Linked DNA regions of Caenorhabditis elegans. The protein of the gene in region 3 purifies or fractionates together with the protein of the main gene of each other region. This does not show direct contact. Each region holds a gene or a part of one and is shown on either strand. Other genes may lie near its edges.

Region 1 (4,077 bases), on a different chromosome or scaffold from region 3:
GGATTCTCGAAGAAGTTCCAATAGAGACTCTCATTCGACACGTTGAAAAATCAGATGAACGAATTGCTCTTTGTGCACTTTCACTAATGAATTCAATGATAAGAAGATGTCCTGATGATGAAAAACGATTTGAACTTATTAAATCTTTAGAAGTCGTTCCATTCCGTAATGCTGTACACAGTTCTCTTCTACGTGGTGGTGGTGGTGTTCGAAATCTGAATGCTATTGAACAACTTGTTGAGGTTCAAAGGAGTCTGATTAGTGCATATGAAACTTCACCTCCTACTGATGCTGAAGTTCAGAAAATTCTTGATATTGAATCCAGTGAGGATGTTTCCGAGGAGATCAGAGAAATGTGGAAATCACAAATTGGGGAACACCGATGTGGACGGTTGGCTGCAATTTCGATGGTTCAATTTGCAGAAAAAAGTCCGCAAGATCTGAGAATGCTAATTTCGGAGAATACAATGAGGATTGAAGGAGGAAAATGGCAACTGATTCCAATGTGGATGAGGTTTTTTTGCAAACGTAAAGATGTTCTGATGATTTTTTAAATTCAGGTGCTGTGACATTGCCGCAGAATTGTTCAGAGTAATACCTGGTCGTGATGAGTTGGATCGTTTGATTGTAGTTCTCTTTTCCACGGAGACTCCATTTCCAGCTGTATTCGCATGTATTGTACACCTTTTCCATCGAACATGGCGTGAGATGCAGGCAAAAGGAGGTGAAATGGAGAAAGTTGCGTGTGTTGTACTGGAACAGTTACGGCATGTGCTGAAAAGACGGGAAATACAAGATGTAGAAGAACTATCTGCGGATTTGGAGACTTTTTCGTATAGGGCAATGCAAGAAATTTGGAGAGAGGAACAATTGGGAAAGGAAAATATTCAATTACATAGTGAAGCTGTGATGTAAGTCTGAAAATTCCAATAACTTATTCGTATACATATTTTCAGACAACTAAAATCGAAATTGCGGCCAAAAATGGAGGAATTGGTTCGAATAAATCATCTAAACTATTTGAAGTTAGGCGCCGTTTTTCGAAAACCACAGAAAAGTAAATCCCTCGCAAAGCTCGCCTTCTGGCATTGGAAGCTCGATGCATCGGAGAAAATGCTCACTATAACTGGATGTGATGGTGAGAACTATGTGGAAGGTGTGCAGAGAGATGATATTCGGCAAGGTTGGGGGAATATTGAATTAGTTCTCAAATAATAAATTAATTTATTTTCAGTTTGGATCAAAGATATTGCTGATGTAACAAATAATGATGAGATTGATAGAAAAGCAAGCTCATCTCGATTCACTTCTTCTCCATCTACACAAATGTTAAGAGGGATTCGTGTACAATTAAAAACAACAAATGATATGAAAGAAGGCGAAGTTTTAATGGCATTGACATCCGATGAAACTCAATCTGTTATATGGCTTGAAGGTCTTGCTGAATTGATTGGGAGCAAGGCAGTTAAAAGGTATCTAGACATTGGTTACTGTAGTTACAGTAACCTGAAGAATAGGAAGCCCCGAAAATACCAATTGAAATATTTTCAGTGAAACCGATGCAATGGTTGAACGAATGCTGAAAATGGAGCTACGAGTTCGCCTTCTCAATGTGAAACTCACGAACCCCGAGGAGAAACCAGAAATTCCACCGATCCCTGACGATATCAAAAGCTTTATTTCAAAGTTTTAATCATATTCAAGCTTTATCATTCTTACGTGCATTTTACCATATTGAAAGGCAAAACATTTCCATGTGCATAATAAATTTTGTAATTTATGCCTATTACTGTGTATTTAACTTAATTTGAATAACGAGCCATTAACTACAGGCCACTAACAGTTTTCTGAATCTCTTGAAAACAAATTTTTGACCAACATTTTCAGATGAGTGCTATAAAAGAGGTAAAATCAGAGCTCAGGCAGTTTATGAAGACATTGCTCGGAAAAATTTCGAAAGAAGAAACTCAACGTCAAACAGAGGCGGTTTTTGAAAAAATAATTGAATCGAAATGGTTTCAAGAGAGCAAGAGATTGTCAGTTTATGTTAGTACATCGGGAGAAATACAAACTGATTCGATTATTCAAAAAGCGTTGGAAATGGGAAAAGAAGTTTTCATTCCACAGGTAAAATTTATTTTGAAACAGATGCGCAATAGATGTTAAGATGTAGGCATGTAGGTAGGCACATAGGCAGGCAGAAATAAAGCAGGTAGGCCGACAAGAAGTAGGCAGATATGAGCTATGAATAAAGGCAGGCAGGCACGTAGCCAGGCAGAACTAAGGCACTTGCGAGGTAGGCGTAAAGTAGGCCCCTAGACATGAAGGCTGTAATCGTTTGTAGTAGGCAGGCAATTAGTACCTAGGCAGATATTATATATGAATCCAGGGAGACAGGCACGTACAGCAAGTATAATTTATTGAAGTCACAAATGTAAAAATTTCAGTTCACGAAGGGCTCAACTGCAATGGATATGGTTCGAGTTCCGGATCAAACTGCTTTTGACAATCTTCCTTCAACACTTTGGGGAATCAGACAGCCAGAACCGAAATGGAAATGGCAAAGCTATCATGAAACAGGTGTGACTGCTTTTTAATAATATAACTCCAATTTATAAGTACTTACAGGACCACTGGATTTGATCCTTGCACCCGGCGTTGCCTTCTCACCATATGGACTTCGTTGTGGTCATGGAAAAGGATATTACGATCGCTTCTTCTCCACTCATCACAAACATTTTCCAGAAAACTCCCCAAAAAAGATAGGATTGGCTCTTCGTGAGCAAATTATTGGTACAATTCCTATTTCTGAAACTGATGTTGAACTTGATGAGGTTATCTATGAAGGAGAAACTATTATTTTTGATACTATTTAAGGCTTCACACTCTAAATAATATTCCCGATTGTGATATTGAGATTTTTTTTTAAATTTCTCTCGCCAATTTATAAGTGATTTTTCAGACATTCCTCAAATGGTTTTGTGATACAATTTCTTGCATTTGTTAACTGAATAAACTTTTTTGAACTACAGTTATATATAATTTTTTCATAGATTATTCAGTCATTAGTTAGAAGCATTCTAGCCTTCCGAGGTGTTTCAATTTTAGGTCCCACCACGAAAACTTGTGGAGATGTTCTGAAATGCCCCATAGAACTGCATAGCATTGTCCCAAAAGCCTGTAAATATATCTGAAAACTTGCTCACACAAAACGAAAGGATTCAAAGGCCTGAAGACATTAATTAGCAAAAATTAGATACATTCAATGGTTTCACTAATATCACACAGTTCAGATAGACCGAGATGAGGACTGATGTAGTTAAATCGATATATGATAGAAGCCCTGTAATTTACATGAAGAGCAACTACACGAAACTGAACAAAAATATTCATTTAAAGTCAATACATAGTAATCATTGTTCACTCTCAAACTTGTTGAACACGAGGTCAATTTTGGTCTCCCGATCCGCACTGCAAATATTATTATTTCAAAAAGGTTATCATGATCAACATACCTTTGCTTTTTCTCCCTTGCTTGACGAGTGGTCACTCTGACTTCGAATCCCTGGAAAGCTTGAAAGGTGGAACATTATCATATATCATATACTCTACATACCTCTGCTCTAATAGCTCCAATTCTACGGCTCAAGTGTTTCCAGCAACCTTCATCAAAAGCCAATCTCTTCTTCATTGTCCACATGAATCCATTCGAGTGTTCAAATGCATTTTTTGCGTGAAGAACTGATTGAGCAGGATCTCTGTTTTCTCCAGCAAGAAGAAAAGCAAAATGTGGATTGGTTTCATCGAGGACGAATTCTTGCTCTGCTTTCGAGTCTTCTTTTTTCTTTTCCTTATCTGGAGATGCCATTTCTTTTAGTTCCTTTGAATCACTTTTATTTCCACATGCAACACTTCTATCTTCTGACATTGTCTCATTAATCAATGGTTTTTCAGGTTCCTTTTCCTCCTTCTTGATCTCTTCCGCCAAAACCATCTCAACACTGTTCAATTCCTCCTTTTCAGATTCCAAAGTAGAAGTTGACATTGTCAGTTTTCTCGCTGGGCTTCTTCTAACTT
Region 2 (8,375 bases), on a different chromosome or scaffold from region 3:
CTAGTTGAAACGGTTTTTTAAGTTTACAGTCTCACAGACAGTTTCAGCTGAATTCGCGATTCTGAGCTTGGTTTTCATTTCAAAATTCAATTTTTATTATTAGGGTTCATTCTGTTTTTTCGGGCAAAAAGGAGTTTTTCAAAAAATTGTATTTTGTAGTCGTAAAAATTAATTTAAAAGTTATAATTTTTTTTGGGTTCAGAGCTCAAAAAAAGTTTTTTTTGCCGTAATGAACTAAACGGAAAAAGTCTTAAAAACTTTTATAAAAGCTAGTTGAAACCTTAAAAAACGGTGCAAGAATTGAAAAAAAAAACTAATTTCATAGTTAAGATAGAAGTCGGGTTAGCAACCGAACAAAAAAAAGAAATTTCTTGTACATAAGCTGAAACGGTAATTTAATTTTTTTTTATTTTTAGGATGTTCCCGATGAAACATAATTTAGTGGAGCTCCGTCATGTTCTGGTAGTCCAGCAACATACCTAAAGTATTTTTTGTATTGTTTTTTGTTTTTGGACGAATTTTAATTTTCAGTCGGGGAGTTTAAAACAAAATTCGTAGTTTTTTTTTTTGGTTCTTTTACTAAGATTTTTACTAAATCAAAAACAAATGCCATTTTTATAAAAACTAATTGAAACTGTCAAATTGTAAAAATCTGTTTTTTTTTTCAAACATTGTGATTTAATTACAAACTTGCAGTGCCGTTTACATTCCATATTTGGATTGGATTAGAATTGGATCTTCCATAATAGGTAGGCGCGGTTTCAGGGACCTGACGCCTGCCTCGAATCGCATTTTTACGTTTTTTTCTCATTTCAATAATTTTGTTGAAAATCAAATTAAGATATGAAAAAACAAATAGTTCGTGTATGTTTTAGAATAAGGCGCGTATTGAGGCAAGAGGCAGGCGGAGATCGCCTTAAGGTCAGGCAGGTGGGAATTTGAACGCCTTCATGGAAACCTTAGTTTTTGTAATTAACAAGACATTTTGTAATTTACAGCAAATATCAGAAAAAGATTAATGAGAAATAAGAATGTTCACTAGTACATAGCAGCTAGTTGAAACTGCGATTTTATTTTATAGTCTCACGTTCAATTTGAGCCAAATTTGCGATTCTGAGCTTGAAGTAAAAATTGTGCAGGTGGTTTGGGTATACCGTGAGACTATCCAATAAATTTACAGTTTCAGCGTGTTGTACATAAGAACACGCTGAAACTGTAATTTAATTGGATAGTCTCACGGTCAATTTGACCCGTGTTTCGGGTGTTCCCGTAAGAAACATAATTTTCTAGAGCTCTATCTTGTACTGGAGCTCCTCAGAATCCTGGTGGTCCAGCAGCACACCTGGAGGACTAAAGTGCTGAACTGTTCTCTTAAATGTTCTGTTTTTTTTCGGGCCAAAAACCAAAAGAAAACTATATTTCAAAAAAAAAACTTTTTTATTTTTATTTTTGATCAAAAACTTTTTTTGGTAAGACCTTCCTCCTGTATTTTTTTTCAATTTCAAAAATTCTGCAAGAATTCAAAATGTTGTAATTTTAGTCGCTTCAGTGAGGAAATATAAAACTGCATCTACATAGCAACTAGCTGAAACTGTAATTTTTTATTTCATAGCCTCACGGTTAATTTCCACTAAATTCGCGTTAAATCCAATGTTCTATTTTATAATTTTTTATGGATGCTTTAAGCAAAATTTGGTATTTCTTTTCGAAATTCTTCGGACCAAAAAACAAACAAAAAACAGAAAAAACTGTTTTTCCAAAGATTTTAATTCGTTTTACAGTTTTAACTTACAAATGTGATGTAGGTAGTAAGCAACAAATAAATTGCAGTTTTATAACAACTAGTTGAAACGGTCAAATTTATAAGCTCTGAAAGTTGTGTTTCCAATAAAACTCTTAATATATATCACCGATTTATAACAACTAGCGGAAACAGTAACTAAAAAATTAATTTTATAAATAATTTTAAAGTCCCAATGTTCTATTTTCGAATTCTACCCAATCGCGAGATTCTGCATTCAGATCTTATCATCTTTCTCTTCCAAATACACACACACACACCTTGAAACTAACCAATAAAAATGCAATCATCCGACCGTTTCGTCGTCGTCAAGGATCGTAACCTGGAACCAGAAGACGAGAATCATCAAAACAGAGAATTTTATGGCGGTGATCTATTGGGCGGGAAGGAACATACCACGTGGGAGAAGGGGGAGGAGAAGTCGAACATTCACGAGAAATCTTTCATTGCTGATCAGAATAAGTTCGGTTTTGTTGGCAAATTTTGAGGTTAGTTTTTTGATGAGTGCCGAAATTTTACCGAAATTTGGAATTCGGCAATTGTCAATTTTATGAACTATACCAATAAATTGTATTAAAACTTCTAGAATGCTCTAGAAAAATCTGGAAACTACTAGAATTTTCTAGAACAAAACTGGAAACTTCTAGAAATTTCCAGAGAAATCTATAAACTTCTGTAATTTTCTAGAAAAATGTGGGAACTTTAAGAATTTTTTAGAAAAATCTGGTAACTTCTAGAATTTTCTAGAAATTTTTTTTTAAATTTTATTTTTTAAAAATTACTGTTTCATCACATTGAGAAAATGTTTTTACTGTTGATTTTTCTAATTTCGTATACTGTTGACTCGGTTTGTGAAGACTCAATTTTCCAGCATGAACATCCCATCTCTCTTCGTCGACCCATTCTCTCCGCTCCTCGAGCATCCAACGGAGCAACGTGCCAAGAATGTGGCTCACGCACCAAAGCGTCCGTGTAATCTTACACAGACAGAGAAAATGGTAATAAATTTATCTTTGAAAAGATAAAAAAAATGTACTGTTTCATTAAAAACGTTTAGGCACTTGACTTGGAATTTTTTCTTTTCAAATGAATTTTTTGAAACTGCAAAAACAGTTTCATTGTTTCATTGAGCGCTTTAAAGAAGACTGTGAAACATAATCTTTGACAAGTTGGCTGAAAATGAGCCTAAACTAACAAATTTTTTAGAAAAATTTGGCTAAACTCTGAAATTTTTTGCCTAGTTTTTAATAAAATTAGCTTTTTTTTGTTGCATCAAGAAGTTTAAATGCTACACTGACTAACTAATAGAACTTTTTACAAATTGAAATGCAATATTTGGAACAGTGAACATTTTTACCTTTAATTTTTCAAATCTACTCCTAATTATGGTAAACTATTTGCAATGAGATCAATGTTATAATTTATTGTTCCGACATCTCCCGGGTTGCACAGTGTTCTCTGTGCTCGGCGCAATTTGGGAGATACCAATTAATTGAATGAAGTTGTTGTGCCAATTCTAGTTCAGAAAAAAGTAAGAGAAGACTGTAACAAAATTTACAATTTTTTTGCAATTTTGGAGCAGTTTTTGAAGTCGGTAGGCTATGTAGTTTTCGAGATCAAGAACAATCAAGAAGATCAAGAATCAGATCAAATTTTAATTTAGGAGCTGAAAAGCTGTTGGCTATTAGTTACAAAAGTCTGTTTCACTTACTTGATAAAATACAAGTGGAATTCCAAAATTTATTGTTTCGAACTTCAATGCAGGTCCCAACCAGCTTCAACTATAAAATTCTTCCAGCTCGCCGTCCGCAATGCTCTCCGCTACATTCCAAAAGAGCATCACGTCCTTCTAGCCACCGAGTTCGCTGAAGAGCTCAACACCTATGGACACATCTATGGGTATCGGTTCATGCCAAACTTTGATCTATTCGCGCCGCCCGTCTCGGAGATCGGAGCTCATTGCGAACAAGCATCGGCTATCATTTTGATGATTCTAAACAATTTGGACAAGCGGGTTGCCCAGTTTCCACAGGAATTGGTGACTTATGGAGGAAATGGTCAAGTTTTTAGGTTAGCATGGGAATCTTTCTGAAATGCTTGAGAAATGATATTTCAGCAATTGGATCCAATTCCGTCTGGTTCTTCGTTACCTCTACACAATGACTGACCATCAAACTTTGGTGCTCTATTCCGGACACCCATTGGGCCTATTTCCATCAACCCCGGACTCGCCAAGAATGACTGTTACTAATGGAATGGTAGGCCTTTGGAAACTAGGATGCTTCGTACATTTTGACATTTCAGATGATCCCGAGCTACTCGACAAAGGAGCTGTACGACAAGTATTTTGCATTAGGAGTGACGCAGTACGGACAAATGACTGCTGGAAGTTTCTGTTATATTGGACCACAGGGAATTGTACACGGGACTACGGTAAGCCGTTAAATGGAGTTTGGCATTAAAACACCGTATTACCGTCAAATTTAATGAACACACTAAAACAGTCAAATTTATTTTGGAAAATGGGCAAAGCAGAAGGTTTTCAGTATACAACGGTTTTAGATGGAATTTCAAAGGCAAAAATTCAAGGATTTCAAGATTTTTGTTTTTTTTTCTGAATATGATTCTTGTCATTTATATAATCCAAACTGCACCAATGTAGTAGAGAAGTGACTCAAAGAAAACATGTTATTTCTAATAACTAACTCAGCCCTAAAATATACGGACACTGTGAAACATTAAATTTTTGTAAATTTTATTTTTTTTTTTAAATAGTTATATAATGAACCAAAGCTGAAGTTTTGGCATTAAACACCTTATTACTGCCAGAATATATGAACACACTGAAACAGTAAATTTTATTCTGGGATATGGGCTACACAGAAGGTTTTCAGTATACAACGGTTTCAGATAGTATTTGAATGATTTTTGTTAAGTTTTTGTGTATTATTCTAGTTATTTTATAATCCAAACTCCACCAAAGTAGTAGAGAAGTGGCGTCAAGAAAACTTGATATATTGCTTTAATTTATAGCGGTGTTCTCTTGAAAACCTTCCTAATAGCTAACTCTCTAAGTCCTAAAATATGTAGACACAATGAAACAATAAATTTCTGAAATTTGTAATTTTTTTTTCAAGAGTTACATAATGAACCAAAGCTGATAATATTTTGTCCCACTGAAAAAATTTACTTACTTCAACTAACCACAGTATTTATTAAAGAGTGATAATTTAACAAAAATTTAGTTCCAGACACTTAGAAGATGACAAAATTTTTGATTTTAGCTGAAAATGAGACCTTTTTTATCAGAACTTTGAACCGCCATAACTTTTTTTTTTGAGAAATTTTCAAAATGTCTCGTTACGAAATTCAGTAGTTTTTGGGGAATCTTGGGTCGGAAAAAGCAAAATCTCAGATTTCGGTACTCCACCTTAAATAGAGTCGAATAGCTATCTTACAAAGCCCTAAAATATGTAGAAACTGTGAAAAAATAAATTTTTGTAAATTTTATTTTTATTTTTTCAGTAGTTACATAATGAACCAGAACTGATAACATTTTTTTTTAATTTGAATTTCGTAATTTTCTTAAGGTTTTTCAAAATTGACTTATTAGAAGCAGAAAGTTGAAAGTCTTTTCACTTTATAATATTTTAAAGAAATCTAAATGATTCGAGACCAGATGCAACAGATTACAGCTTTTCTACCCATATAGAAAAATAGTGACGTCACTATATGAGTTTTTCTCGATCTATTCTTCTTGTCCGATTAATTTCATCACAACTCTCCTGAATTTCTGAACCCCCTGAAACAGTAAAAATTCTCCAGATCACAGTCCTCAACGCTGGTCGTCGTATGGGACTGGATTCCCTTGCTGGTAAGGTTTTCGTAACTGCAGGACTTGGAGGAATGAGTGGAGCTCAACCAAAAGCAGCTAAGATTGCTGGATGTATTGGAGTTATTGCGGAAATTAGTGATACTGCATTGTTGAAACGTCATCAACAGGGATGGTTGGATGTATATTCGAAGGATCTTGAGGAAATTGTGAATTGGATTAAAGAGTACAGAGAGAAAAAAGAGGCAATTAGTATTGGATATTTGGGGAATGTTGTTGACTTGTGGTGAGTTTTAGAAAATTTTACTGTTTCAGAAAGTTGTTAAATTTTTTTATGAAAGTGTGAAAGGCGATCTACGGAGCAAGAGGGAAAATAATTAAAGGAAACGAGAAAAGCGGAAAAAATTGTAATACAAATAATATATCTCATAGTTTCGGAACCAAGATTTTTTTTAAATTACAGAATTTTTTACAAAGATTTTTCACAATTAATAAACTTGGTAAAACATTATTCACAAAAATTCTAGACAAAAAACTATGAGTTTTCAAAATTCCAGGGAACGGCTCGCCGAGGAACCGGAATGTCTTGTAGAACTGGGAAGTGACCAAACTTCTCTCCACAATCCATTCCTTGGAGGTTTTTACCCTGCTGGACTCACTTTTGAACAATCCAATCAAATGATGACTTCTGATCCTGTAAAATTCAAAAAACTTGTTCAAAACTCTTTAATCCGCCAAATCGCCGCCATCGACAAGATTGCTGCAAAGGGAATGTACTTCTGGGATTACGGTAATGCTTTCCTTTTGGAATGCCAGAGAGCTGGAGCCAATTTGCTCAGAGAGGATGCTCAGGATGATAAATCGTTTAGATATCCAAGTTATATGCAGGATATTATGGGGTAATAATTATTTGAAAAGAGTACAATTTAAATAAAATAAATTCTGTTTCAGAGACATCTTTTCAATGGGATTTGGACCATTCCGATGGGTTTGTACTTCTGGAAAGCCGGAAGATTTGAGATTGACTGATCAGACAGCATGCAAGATTATTGATGAGTTGAAGGATACTGATGGTGAGTGCTTTTATGTTGTAACAAAAAAATCGACTGTTTCACTATGGCTATATGTATGTTCACTATTTTGAGAAATTTGATGGGTTCAGTGTGTGTATCTTTGAAATTTAGTACTAATCTCATAAAATTGAGCATTTGTTGGCGAGAAATCATATATATGCTGTTTCATATTGTCCATAAAACTGCCGACGAATTTTGACTTTAATTTTTAATATTTGTTAGGAAATTTAGGGATGTGAAGCTGTTGAAAAAAAAAAAGAAAAACGAATAGCCAGTGTAATATTCTTGAAACCGTAAATAACTACTAAATAAAATAGCGTACTGTTTCGAGAAGTTTATATAATTTTCGCTTTTTGAAAGAGGTTATTCCGGAAATATTGCTAAAAAAAAGCAGAAAACTTCTACAATTTCGCATAGTCATTAAAGTATGTTCGATTATTTTATTTTATTAATTTTGCTGAATTAAAAAATAACATATTAAAGGTGGAGTACCGAAATTAGTGACTCTGTTTTCTTAGACCAAAATGAGTCCAAACCTACCGAATTTTGTAATGAGACGTTCTGAAAATTTCTCAAAAAAAAAAGTTATGACGGTTCAAAGTTTTAGAAAATAAGGCCCATTTTCAGCTAAAATCAAAATTTTTTCCAACTTCTCGGTGTCGCAACGTCTGGAATTGAATTTTCATTTATTCATCACTTTTTAATAAATATTGTGGTCATTGATTGGGCGTTTATTCGTTGATTTAACTACATTTATGGTCTTTGGGGCACAAATAAAAGTTACATTTTGTGCCTCACTGACCATAAATGTACTTAAATCAACGAATAAACGCCCAATCAAAGGCCACATTATTTATTAAAAAGAGATGAATAAATAAAAATTCAATTCCAAACGTTGCAACACCGAGAAATTAGATAAAATTTCGATTTTAGCTGAAAATGGGCCTTATTTTCTAAAACTTTGAACCTTCATAACTTTTTTTAAAGAAATTTTCAGAACGTCTCATCACAAAATTCGGTAGTTTTGGGCTCATTTTGTTCTAAAAAAACAGAGTCTCTAATTTCGGTACTCCACCTTTAAGAGTAGAAACATGTAGTTTTAGGGGAACTCATCAGGTTATTTATCAAATTTATGCTTGGAAAAGTTGAAAGTCTACCGAAAATGTCTTTTCCGCTGAAAAAAATTAACATCGTTCCCGGAAACCCGGGATATGTCGTACCATGATGAACAATTCACAAAGTGTCGACCGCAAAGCAAGTATACCAAAACGAGAGATAGGAGATGCGGTTTGAAAACAAGTTGAATTTGAGAATTTTTCACTGTTTCCAACTTTGCATTTTAATTTGTAACGTATTGTATTAGACAATTTGTAAAAAATTATGTTTTTTATTATCTTCAAAATACTATGATCCTGAATGAATTATTTGAAATGGGTACCCTTAACTTTAACAAATATTCGCTCTTAAAAATTCTGAGAAAATTTGCAAAAAATCACCACGTCTTCTTCTTGAATGGGTACCACTGAAAATTAATTGGGTTGTTATTTTTATTCCGAAATATACTCACACTGCTGCCAAGTTTTGAAACTTTCTGTTTCTAGCAGAGACATTGATTTTTTCATTTTGAGAACCAAAAATCGAATCATTATTTTTTGCTAGTTTAATAAGG
Region 3 (4,808 bases):
AAACAAGAAAAATTGGTAAACCGTAAAAAAATATTTAAACCGGTTCAAAATTTGAAAATCCACCCAAATTCTATGCTTCCTATGTACATATGAATGTATATATTTTTATTTTTGCGTTAACATAATATTTCTGCTACAAAATGCACGGATGTTCTTTATACGGGTGTCCATATACAGAACTACAGAACATAACATGTCAAATTTTCGCCAATGATTTTGAAGTTTCCGAAAATTGCCGAAAATGACAACTGAGAACCCGGAAAAACTTTCAACTGTTGCTTGGAAATGGTAGTACTGGAAACTGCGTTGTGTCCATCATTTTGATAATGGAGTAATTTTTTGTGAGATTATACTACATTTTTCCAAACTTCATCATATTAATCATCACTAAGAATCTCAGTACATATAATTGGTTTTCGGTTTCTAATCTGATTAGGAAGTTTTTGTGCACATCAGTGATCTTACAGTTCAGTTCACTTCGATCTCCTCGTTTTGCTTTCTCTGAGCGGAAATTTGGCATACTTCATAAGACTGACAAGTTTCTAGTCTTTGGCATTTTTTTTTCTCTTCTAATGTCTTACGAATTCAAACACAAGGCATTTTCGGTCAGCTCGGCAGGAATCACAGCGTCGATATTTGTTGTGGTTTTGAACATTAGACTTCTGTGGAAGTTTCAAAACTCTCCAATTAGGAAGAAACCGGAATATCATTTATACCAAATACGATTTTTTGTTGATATATGTTATTCAATCGCAGGTAATGTTTAATAGATTTTGGAAAATGCAATAAATTCTCACCCAGTGGGTGTCGCAGGCATAAAATTAATTCCTCTTTAAATCTATGTCTGATAGTATAGAGGCTCATATGATCAGGATAGTGCAAACCCTCAAAATGTCGAAAACGAAAAATCTTACATGGTTACAGTTAGTATATACTATGTTGCCTTGGATATATCTTACCTCTCTCCATTCTTTCTATTTCACTACAAGATATTGTTTGTCGTGACATTATTATCCTCAAACATCCTGTCCACCAGATTTTTCCTAGCTGCTCTGATTTCGATAGAAAGATTAATTGCAGTATTTTTGCCTGTTCAGTTTCATAATAATCGTCAAAAACTACCTGTTTTTATATTTTTCACTATGTTACTTTTATGGGGAATGTTTGAAGACGTTATGTATTTTTGGATCTGTGATATTTCTCCATTCATAAAAGATTGCTCAGTTCTGGGATGCACTTATAATGATTGCTTTTTGCAATACTGGACTGGTAGTAAATTGGTGTGAGTTTTAATTGTATTTATTTTCAATTAATACTTTTCAGGTAATTGGAGGATTCACTTGCTTAAGCTCTTTGGTTCTCTTTTTCAAACTTTTGGCATTGAAAAAAACCATGAATATTGTCAATTTATCAAAGGTAGGCAAATTTAGCCTTTAGTAATTAATACTTTTTTCAGACAAATTACTTATGTATTGGTGATTCATGTTTGACTCTTCTATTTGACTTTACGCCATTTCTTTTGACGCTTGTTCTCAGAACACAACTTTATTCTGCAGACGTAAGTGGAATTATTTTGAAAACTGTTTTGCTCAAACATTTTTTACAAAAGGCTTTGAAATTATTAGGTTTAAATAATTTGAGAAGTTTATAAACATTATAGTAATGACTTAGAAGAGCTGATAAATTATAATTTCAGATCTATGGGCCTTACAATGCTACTGCAAAAAGTACTGCATGCTTTATCGATGCCATGATTGCAACTTGGGTCTTGAAAAAACCATTAAAACCAACTCAAATTAGACAAATAAATTCACTGAAAAGAATTTCCGACCGACATGGATCTAGTAGAACATAACTTATAAATTTTAATTGTCAGATCATTTTCCCTCTTCTCTTGTTTTACTTCCCTTACGCGAAAAGCTTGCTAAACGATTCTTGTAAGCGAGATAGTACGAGACGCAAGCACAAAAGAAGGACACTATGCGATAGATACTGCTGTTGCCGTGTTGGCCTTCGATCAGTGTAAGAAAATAGAAAACGCAGTCGTAGACGCATTTGTAACCGCTCATCCACTTAGACTAATTCCACTCCCCAAAAACATTTATTTCTATTACTAAAAATCAAATGAAGTTTTTATATCGAACCACTTGTTTCCTGATTATTGTATTTTCATCGACAGTTTTTGCAAACGATAAGAGCTGGAAGGTATATTATTTAACAAATTGGAATTTTTCATTTAGCTTGACTTCGTGAAATATATCATAAAAACAATTGGAAGTACAGTTTCCAAACTATAAACGATATTAGGAAATTTAAAAAAAAACCACTTCTTCTTGAACAAACTATTCAATCGTTCAGGAAGATGACGGATTAGAAATAACGATAACATCGTCAATAGATGAGAGCGAATGCGAGATCAAATCCGCAGGTGGCGATGTAGTTGATCAGTACTACAAGTTGACAGATGAGAAGGGAGTTGAAATTGGAAGCAATTTTGGAAAGAAACCATATACATTCACGTTGGGAAGGAATCAAGTGATACCTGGAATGGATAGAGCTATGCGAGGAATGTGTATTGGAGAGATTCGAAAAGTTGTGATTCCCCCGAAACTAGGATTTGCGAAGTAAGCAAGGGATTATATTATTATTAGTTTCCTAAGGATAATTTGTTCCTGAGAAGTTTGATCATTGAAACCATACATGAAGTTTTTTTTTATAATTACAGAGACTCGACTGGTCAGCCACTCTATTACACTGTCCAGCTGGTGAACCTGTTCCGTGCGAATCCTGGGGAGAGATGGGTCACTGAAGAAGGAATTCAAATTGATCAGATTCACAAGATTGAAGCAGACAAATGTAAAAAAGCTGAAGCTGGCGACAAGATTTATCAGCAATATGTTTTGAGATTAGAAGATAACACACTTGTGGACTCATCTTATTCAAGAAATGCTCCGTTTGTATTTAGATTGAGAAACAGAGTAAGTTTTTTCAGTTATTAAAAAACCAACCGCATATAGGTAAATGAAATTTAATGAGAAAAAAAATCATCACAGATTTTTTTTGACACTCAATTTAATAAAATAAAATTTCTCTCCCGGCCACTTTTTGCCCAATTTACCAAACCTTGGACGAAAGTTTGTTTGAAGTTGGGCCAGATTTTGGATTTGTATTTTGAGTTAGAGTATTCGAAGTTTTGTCAGATTTTGGCAAAAATTGGTTTAAACATTTTTAAAACTTTGGTTTACTCTTTGAGTACCTATTAGAAGTTGATGTATGTAATATATGGTGTATGTAAATCCCGAGAATGTACGTTTTCATTTTTAATCTCATAACTGTCTGATGAAAATGTGGTTTGAGCTAGGTGTTATGTGGTTTATAAAAATTAAAGAAACTGGTTGTTACATTGGTTAATGAAATCTTATTTCACCTGTCATGTGAAATTTACAATTTTTTTACGTAGGGAGCAAATTACAAAACCCAATGAAAATTATGCTTAATTCTTTGTTTGAATTTTTTTATTAATATTATTCTTGTTTATTTGATCTTCAAAATTGAAATATTCTGATGATCTAGAAAAAAAAACATGAAAATATATATATCATGAAATTTTGGCGCAATATTATATGATCGGAAAAATTTTTTGTGGCAAAGTACATAATACAATATAATTTTAGGAAGTTATCGATGGAATGGATATTGCAATGGATGGAATGTGTGAAGGAGAACGACGTCGTGTTGTGATTCCATCTGAATATGGATACGGATCCCAAGGATCCCCACCAGAGATTCCCGGTGGTGCTCGTCTTTTCTTCGAAATTGTTCTAGAAAAGCTTGTTAAAAGAGATGAACTTTAGAGTGATTTCAGATGTTTTTTGTTTGATTAATTATTGAAAAGGACTTCCTGTTTCCGTTGAACGTTCTCTGTTAATGTTACATATGTACGTGTTTGTGCCATAAAAATTTCTTGATTTCTCGTAGATTTTTTCAAAAAACCAGCTGCAACGATTATCCGAAGCAAGCTTCTGTAGCCATCGGCTCTCATAAAGTCGGAGAGCAGCTGAAATTGAATTGAAAGACCAACCAACATCACTTCGTCATAAGTTTTCAGAAAGTGGGGAGTGTCGGCTGACTACTGCCAGTGTTAACCTACAATTTTCTTTTGATTTGTAATTGAGCTACAAAATTGTTAGAAAGACATTTAAATTTGAAGCTGTCGGTGCGAAATTTTCATTTTCATGTCAGAAGAGATATTGGTAACAATGCCCCATTCAACAGTGTGTAAGTTTTTTTTAATAAAGTGACATTTTTTCCTGCACGTTCCGGGAACTTGTGAATTTGACGTTCAAATTTAAATCATAAAATGTAGCGAAAATGTTTATTGGTGTACCTTTAAAGAACGTAACTCGCCTTGAAAGTGCTCATGTTGTACTAAAGAAGTTAATCTTGTCACAATTAAAAACTGTTACAGTAAAATAGGTATAGGTATCTGTTGAGAAATATGATGCCGTTCCCGTAAAGAATCAGGTGAATTTTTTGCGTTGAGTCATTTACTGTAAACAGTTTTTTTTTCAACTGAAGCAAACCACGCATCAAAATGTTTTATTGTTTCAGGTAACCCTACAATATTTTCATTATTTCTTGATGGAGCACTTCGCAAAATGAGTATGACTGAAAATATAATGTACATAATAATTGTATTGATTGCATCAATTGCAACAATTCTATGTCTTTTGATAGTTGGTAGATCAAACACATTTCATCCAAATCTTCAAGGACCTATATGGTTTACAGCATTTGTTTATTTTGAT
Region 4 (5,693 bases), on a different chromosome or scaffold from region 3:
ATCAATCATCATCCAAAACTATCGAAGACGTGCTGGTATCACTAAACTGTTCGGTTTTTCCTGAAAATTATCGTATTTTGCAGTCTGGCGAAGCGGGAAATTCTTCATCAGCAGATGACTCGTCGAAGAATATCGTAAGCAGCCAAAAGTTGTTTTTCAGGAAAAAAAACAAATTACTGAAGTCTTACTCAATTTTAAAACTTCCTTATACTTAAAAATATAAGAATTACCGTTAAAGCAAACTTCTAACATGTTGTTGCAACACCGCTATGTGTCGATTTACGCATCTCGTGTACTCTCCGAGAAGAACGGTGCATTTATTTTTCCCAATTTATTTTTTGGTTTTTTGTCTGAAACACTTTAAATTAAAAAATAATTTGGCTATTTCAGCGTTGAATACCAAAAAAAATTAGAGGACATAGTCAAAAACCGATAATACGAGAATTTGAAATTACAGTATTCTTCAATACGTACACCTTTTCGCGTTTAGTACAAATTTGTCGTGTCGAAATACCGTACTTTTGGCGCAATAAAAAATAATTGATTGTTCGTTTAGAGACCCACTGTGCGTTTTTCAGCTCCGCCAACTGTTTACAACTCCGAAACGGCTTATCTCCTCGCCAAAAACCTCGAAGTCTTCAACTCCGACGCCACTACGACGAAGAGCCGAAATCTCATCACCAAAGATTCTCAGATCCTCATTTTCAGGTTAAATTAAAAATCCATTTTTTTCCTTTTAAAAGCTTTTATAAAAGAAAAAATAGTTAAATATAAGTATAAATTTTTTGCAGGTGCCATTCGCAAATCTTTATCGACTCCCGATTCAGTTAAAGTCGAGACAGCGGTTACGGTAACCGCACTGTTCGAATTTGCCAAATCCTCCGCGGAGACCATGTCCATCGAGCAGGGCGAAATTCTTCTCGTACTCGAACACGATCACGGAGATGGATGGACTCGAACCAAAAAGTAATACAAGTAACAAAGAATTACCAAGTAAATAAAATGAAAGTTGCAGGAAACACAACGAAGAGTCAGGATTCGTGCCAACTTCGTATTTGCAATTCCCCCAGTGATTTCATAAATTAAATAGCATTATCATCATCAATATTGTACTCGAGACTGCGCTTATTATCGTCCTGTGAATGAAATAATTGATTATAAAAACAGATTCTTCGATTTTCGATTCATATTGCCATTTACGGAGAAAATGCACATAAAAAGTAATGGTATAATAAATTACAGGAAGTGGGAGAATGGGAGGCACCGCGGATTGTTGAGTTTAAAATGGGAAAAAAACATTGCACAATAAATTAGTAAAAAAGAACGGTTAGGCTATCTAGACAAATTAAATCAGCTTCACATAATTAGCGGGAAAAAGGCCTACGCGGCCGCTGGGCGCACGTCCTTTCCACCATCCGCTATCGACTTGATCGATATCTGTGATAATGTCATCAGGATCAAATGAGATCTCCGTGTCATCTGCAGCCTGGTAGTCCCAGAGAGCCATCGCGTTCTGCTCGGCGACCGCCGGCGGGAAATCGTACTGATCAATTGGTGGAGCAGCGACTTTTATTGGCGAGGATTTCGGTGCAAACACGGGCTCCTCTGGCATCACTGGAGGCATGTCATACTGTGAGGCGATGTGAGCTGGCAGTTGAGAGCTCGATGAGTGAGAGTCGATCGGCTCCGGCGGAGCATCATACTGAGACGCATAGTGGGAAGGAGCTGAAACTGGAGGTACAGCTGGTTCGAAAGACTCGTGAACCGGTGGAGCATCGTACTGGGAGGCGTAATGCGATGGAGCTGGAGTTGGCTCAGGTGGAGGTGGAGCAATGACCGGGGTTGGAGCAAGGAATGTAGGTGGAGCTGGCTCTGCTGGTGGCTCTTCGTATGCATCGTAAGAGACGGCAGGTTCTGAAAATATTCAAATTAGGACTAATAAACTTTATACGAAAACTGACTCATAGCCTCGGGCTTGTAAACCATTGGCTCTGGCTCATAAGCTATTGGCTTTGGCGTATACGTCGAAGGCTCATCTGGCTCAGTGAGTCGGTTAACGGGTTCACGGGGCGGAGAGGTCGTGCCAACTGGCGGCCACTTCTTAGGCGATCCATTCACTTGAGGCTTCGGAAGCACTGGACCGGAAGGTTTTGAGCTGAATAATTCTTTTCTGCTTCCAACGAGACCTGCGCTCGGAGTGGGGGCGGGAGCTGGAGCTGGATTCACCGAAGATGGCACGGGCTTATCACTAATTTGAGCCTTCCCGTGAAGATCATCCGCAATCCGTTTTCGATCCGTCTCGAATTCCTTCTGCTTCTGGGCCTGTGCCTCTTTTTCCTCCGCTTGCCGCCGCTGCTCCTCCTCGTTCATCTTGCTCCAGAACTCTTCGCGAGCTGATGAACTGATCTCCACGTGCGGTTTTGTTGGCTTGTACACCGATGTGACCTTATCCGGTTGATAGTTTTCTGTTTTGGAGTGAATTTCCGAGGCCATTCGCTGTCGATCCGCTTCGAACTGCTTGTGTGCTTGTTCACGAGCGGTTTTTTCTTCTTCTTGACGCCTAAAATTGCGAATTCTATTTCAATAAATTACTCAAAACACCCACAGCTTCTCCTCCTCGTTCATCTTGCTCCAAAACTCCTCCCGTTTGACCGTCTTCAGCTCAACGTGGGGCTTCGTCGGCTTGTACACCGAGTTAACCTTCTCCGGCTGGAAATCTTCGGCTTTTGTGTGAATTGCCGCGGCCGTGCGATCACGGTCAGCTTCATACTGCTTTTGCTGTTTCGCATGAGCCACTTTCTCGTCGGCTTGTCGTCTGAAACTTCTTAGAGGTGATTACTTGATTTTCAGGACACGATTTCATGTAGACAGTACCTCTTCTCCTCTTGATTTGTTGTGCTCCAGAAGTTCTCGCGAGCCTCCGAGCTGAGCTCCGAGTGTGCATTCGTCGGCTGGTACACCGAATTCACCTTCTCCGGCATGCTGTACGTGGATTCGACGATGGCGTTGGCGTTCGCCGCCGGGAGCTTTCGCACCTCTTTTCGAATCGCGTCCGGCTCGATGTCGATTTCCGATCTGGCATGGAGCACAATGTGAACTGTTTTCAAGAATCTACGGAACTCTTCAGCGTGCGGTGTCGTTGAGGCCAAACGCAGTGTGGGGACTCCTTCGCCTTGCTGCAATATTCAAACATTAAAATGGTTTTTTTCCTGGAACTTCGTGTTTAAAAGTATACAAATCTCGATACATCTCTAAAAATATTTGAAACCATAACTGACAAAGAATTTTTGGAAAAAACTACAGTTTTTGTTTTACAAATGGATTTTTAAAAAAAATTTTCAGCAAAAAATCTCACAATAGCGTTATCTTTTGAGAGGAACATGGAATGCAAGCAAATTGACATGATTTTTGTTAATATTCAACTTTTAAGACCTAGTAATCACGAATTTTTTCGATTTTCGTTTTCCTTTCAATTTAGCCGTAAACTCCATACCCAATGCACCAAAACGATTTTCGGGAAGACATCACTGCTCAGTCGCACCGAAATCACACCAAACTGGAGCTTTCCCGAGCTGAAACTGTCGGCGAACTCCTCAAGACCACCAGCTGAAATAAATAGATTTTTAGGAGGGAAAGCAACGAAATCTGAACTTACTTCCTTCTTCTTTGACTCGTAATGTGTTCGAATTTCCTTCATAATCGAAAATCACCCATTTATCGCCATCTGAGTCATCACTGGCACGCCGATACGACGCTTCAATCTCCTTGCCGTGTGCATGATAGTTGAGAGTCATCTGGAACACATACAATATAGGGTTCGACGACCTATATTGTAATTATTAAGCTAAAATCGAGGGAAAATTGTAATAGTGACGCGATAAAAAGCCTCCGAATGGTCTCCTTATCATTTTTTTATTTTCTTTCTACGCAGAACTTATTTCTCTATGGTACTCCATTAATCACACTATGTTTCGCAACATATGGCAAATTTGCCACAAAGGTGTGCATTTTTCTCGATTTGATCGAGTCACGAGGTAATTTTCAATTAAGGCCGAGAAATTTATGGGTTAATATAAAGAATCTCAAGTAAAAAATCGTTTAAAAGACCATTTTCGGTAGTTGACCAGGAAATGAGAGAACGGAACGGGCGTAGCCGCCAGCAAACATCTCTCGTTCCCGCGCCAGCGGTAGGCAGAGACCCTCCAGAAAACTAAAGAAATGTCTCGAGAGATGTTTTTTTTTTCCGGTAGGCGAGATTGAATTGGAATCAAAGCTTAATCTTCTCGCGGTCGAGTCTCCGCGTGCGTGTCTCACACATTTTTGCATGAAAAACTCCGGATTCTATGGTCTGATCGTTGCGATTAAAAATGGAAAACTAATAGGCTGACCGACAAAAATTTGCGAAAATACCCAATTATTTTCAATGCAAAGATACAAAATTTGATGGAAAAGAGAAACAAATAAACTTTCAGAAATCAGGTTAAAAGAGGATGGGTCTCGCCACGAATAGATTTTTAAAGTCATGTGCCTTTGAAGTTACGGTAGTTGAGCGGCTTCAAATTTATTATTTTTAATTATGGCAATATTTTCACTTTCTGGTTAATTTTAAGCGAAAAATTGAGTTTGGAGGAAATTTGTTTCGTTTCAAATTATTTAAATTGTTTTGAAACAGAAAAAACTAAAGCTGTAATTCATCGCTTAAAATTTTATATTTACAGATATTTCTGATCTAAAAAAAACAGAAGAAAGAATATTCAAATGTTCAAGAAAGAATGTCAACAGTACTGCTAGAAATTCAAAAAATAAATCTAAAATTTGGAGCGTTTGAAGGTGGTTTAAGCTTTCATGAAAACATTTTAAACGATCTGCAGGTTAAAATCTAAATAAAAATAGGTTTTCACATTGAAAAACGGCATAGATGATTAATTTCAACACATTTTTTAGATTTTCTACATATGTACTCATCTATTTGAAAACGAAATTGAAAGGGATAGAAAACATATTAATAACACTAATCAAAAAGAAACATTGGCCCCAAGATGTGTGTGAGTCACTTTTGATTGTGTTTGTGTGTGTTGGGCCAGTTCAGGGCGGCAGTAAGATAGTAAGGGAAATAGTGAGGCTGTCCGTTAAGACGCAGCAGTTCAGAGCGCTCAGTGGAACATACGACCGCCCTTAATGGCTGTCGTCTCTCACTCGTATGAAGTCGGACACAAGAAGTATGTAGTAGTAGTGGTATATTTAATTGTTCGTGTGTGTAGGTCTTTACTAAAAACTTTTCCTTCTAGGTGACCCTAAATCTCTTCGCTTTTCATACTGTCTCACAGTCAAAGGGTTAAAGCAGTAAATTTTGGGATTTTCTGCAGAATGACTAATCTCTTGATGACTTCTCTACTTGCGACTGTTTGTTTGCGCATTTGTGAACTGAGTCATTCTGATCATTTTTGGGGGAATGAATTGTTCCATCAGGTTGATTAAAAAATAGTTGGTGAATCGAAATTTCAAAAAAAAATTGAGGCAGGATGTTTCGCGCGCTGGGTAGAGAAAAACGATATTTACATAAAATGAACAAAGTGAAAACATAGAATCTCTTCCTCTTGGCTGTCCGAAAAGCAAACAGAAACCGTGTGTTAGGGCAAAAATACAGAGAAAAAGCCATTCGACACACTTCTCTCTCTTCCTCCTGACTCAGT

Evidence for each region.
Region 1: the proteins of fkb-4 (region 3) and Y106G6E.4 fractionate together in Caenorhabditis elegans (co-fractionation; one large-scale study listed by BioGRID). This does not show direct contact.
Region 2: the proteins of fkb-4 (region 3) and uroc-1 fractionate together in Caenorhabditis elegans (co-fractionation; one large-scale study listed by BioGRID). This does not show direct contact.
Region 4: the proteins of fkb-4 (region 3) and dbn-1 fractionate together in Caenorhabditis elegans (co-fractionation; one large-scale study listed by BioGRID). This does not show direct contact.

What each region holds. Positions count from the first base shown.
Region 1 is NC_003279.8:10,220,589-10,224,665, reverse strand, and holds Y106G6E.4 (putative 5-formyltetrahydrofolate cyclo-ligase), read left to right. Parts: upstream 1-1,887; coding exon 1,888-2,127; intron 2,128-2,447; coding exon 2,448-2,580; intron 2,581-2,628; coding exon 2,629-2,876; 3' UTR 2,877-3,024; downstream 3,025-4,077. Other genes in the region: ced-12 (Cell death abnormality protein 12), read left to right, coding at 1-514, 561-911, 957-1,183, 1,235-1,472, 1,552-1,693. UniProt on the Caenorhabditis elegans protein: Contributes to tetrahydrofolate metabolism. Helps regulate carbon flow through the folate-dependent one-carbon metabolic network that supplies carbon for the biosynthesis of purines, thymidine and amino acids.
Region 2 is NC_003282.8:16,536,621-16,544,995, reverse strand, and holds the start of uroc-1 (putative urocanate hydratase), read left to right. Parts: upstream 1-2,246; 5' UTR 2,247-2,289; intron 2,290-2,628; exon of another isoform or gene 2,629-2,649; intron 2,650-2,672; 5' UTR 2,673-2,673; coding exon 2,674-2,799; intron 2,800-3,077; exon of another isoform or gene 3,078-3,102; intron 3,103-3,542; exon of another isoform or gene 3,543-3,569; intron 3,570-3,599; coding exon 3,600-3,871; intron 3,872-3,917; coding exon 3,918-4,059; intron 4,060-4,105; coding exon 4,106-4,234; intron 4,235-4,238; exon of another isoform or gene 4,239-4,259; intron 4,260-4,270; exon of another isoform or gene 4,271-4,291; intron 4,292-4,587; exon of another isoform or gene 4,588-4,608; intron 4,609-4,838; exon of another isoform or gene 4,839-4,859; intron 4,860-5,225; exon of another isoform or gene 5,226-5,246; intron 5,247-5,545; exon of another isoform or gene 5,546-5,566; intron 5,567-5,626; coding exon 5,627-5,919; intron 5,920-5,986; exon of another isoform or gene 5,987-6,007; intron 6,008-6,190; coding exon 6,191-6,532; intron 6,533-6,584; coding exon 6,585-6,706; intron 6,707-6,786; exon of another isoform or gene 6,787-6,807; intron 6,808-6,911; and 10 more.
Region 3 is NC_003283.11:12,784,316-12,789,123, reverse strand, and holds fkb-4 (peptidylprolyl isomerase), read left to right. Parts: upstream 1-1,997; 5' UTR 1,998-2,124; coding exon 2,125-2,205; intron 2,206-2,358; coding exon 2,359-2,624; intron 2,625-2,725; coding exon 2,726-2,978; intron 2,979-3,674; coding exon 3,675-3,854; 3' UTR 3,855-3,971; downstream 3,972-4,808. Other genes in the region: srbc-44 (Serpentine Receptor, class BC (Class B-like)), read left to right, coding at 573-756, 925-1,280, 1,324-1,416, 1,457-1,558, 1,697-1,855; sre-20 (Serpentine Receptor, class E (Epsilon)), read left to right, coding at 4,260-4,278, 4,612-4,808.
Region 4 is NC_003281.10:13,758,276-13,763,968, forward strand, and holds dbn-1 (DreBriN 1/DreBriN-like (where Drebrin is from Developmentally REgulated BRaIN protein) family homolog), read right to left. Parts: upstream 3,795-5,693; coding exon 3,656-3,794; intron 3,607-3,655; coding exon 3,494-3,606; intron 3,177-3,493; coding exon 2,875-3,176; intron 2,816-2,874; coding exon 2,606-2,815; intron 2,561-2,605; coding exon 1,962-2,560; intron 1,915-1,961; coding exon 1,346-1,914; 3' UTR 1,169-1,345; downstream 1-1,168. Other genes in the region: toca-2 (Transducer of Cdc42-dependent actin assembly protein 2 homolog), read left to right, coding at 1-35, 84-134, 579-708, 792-966, 1,010-1,073.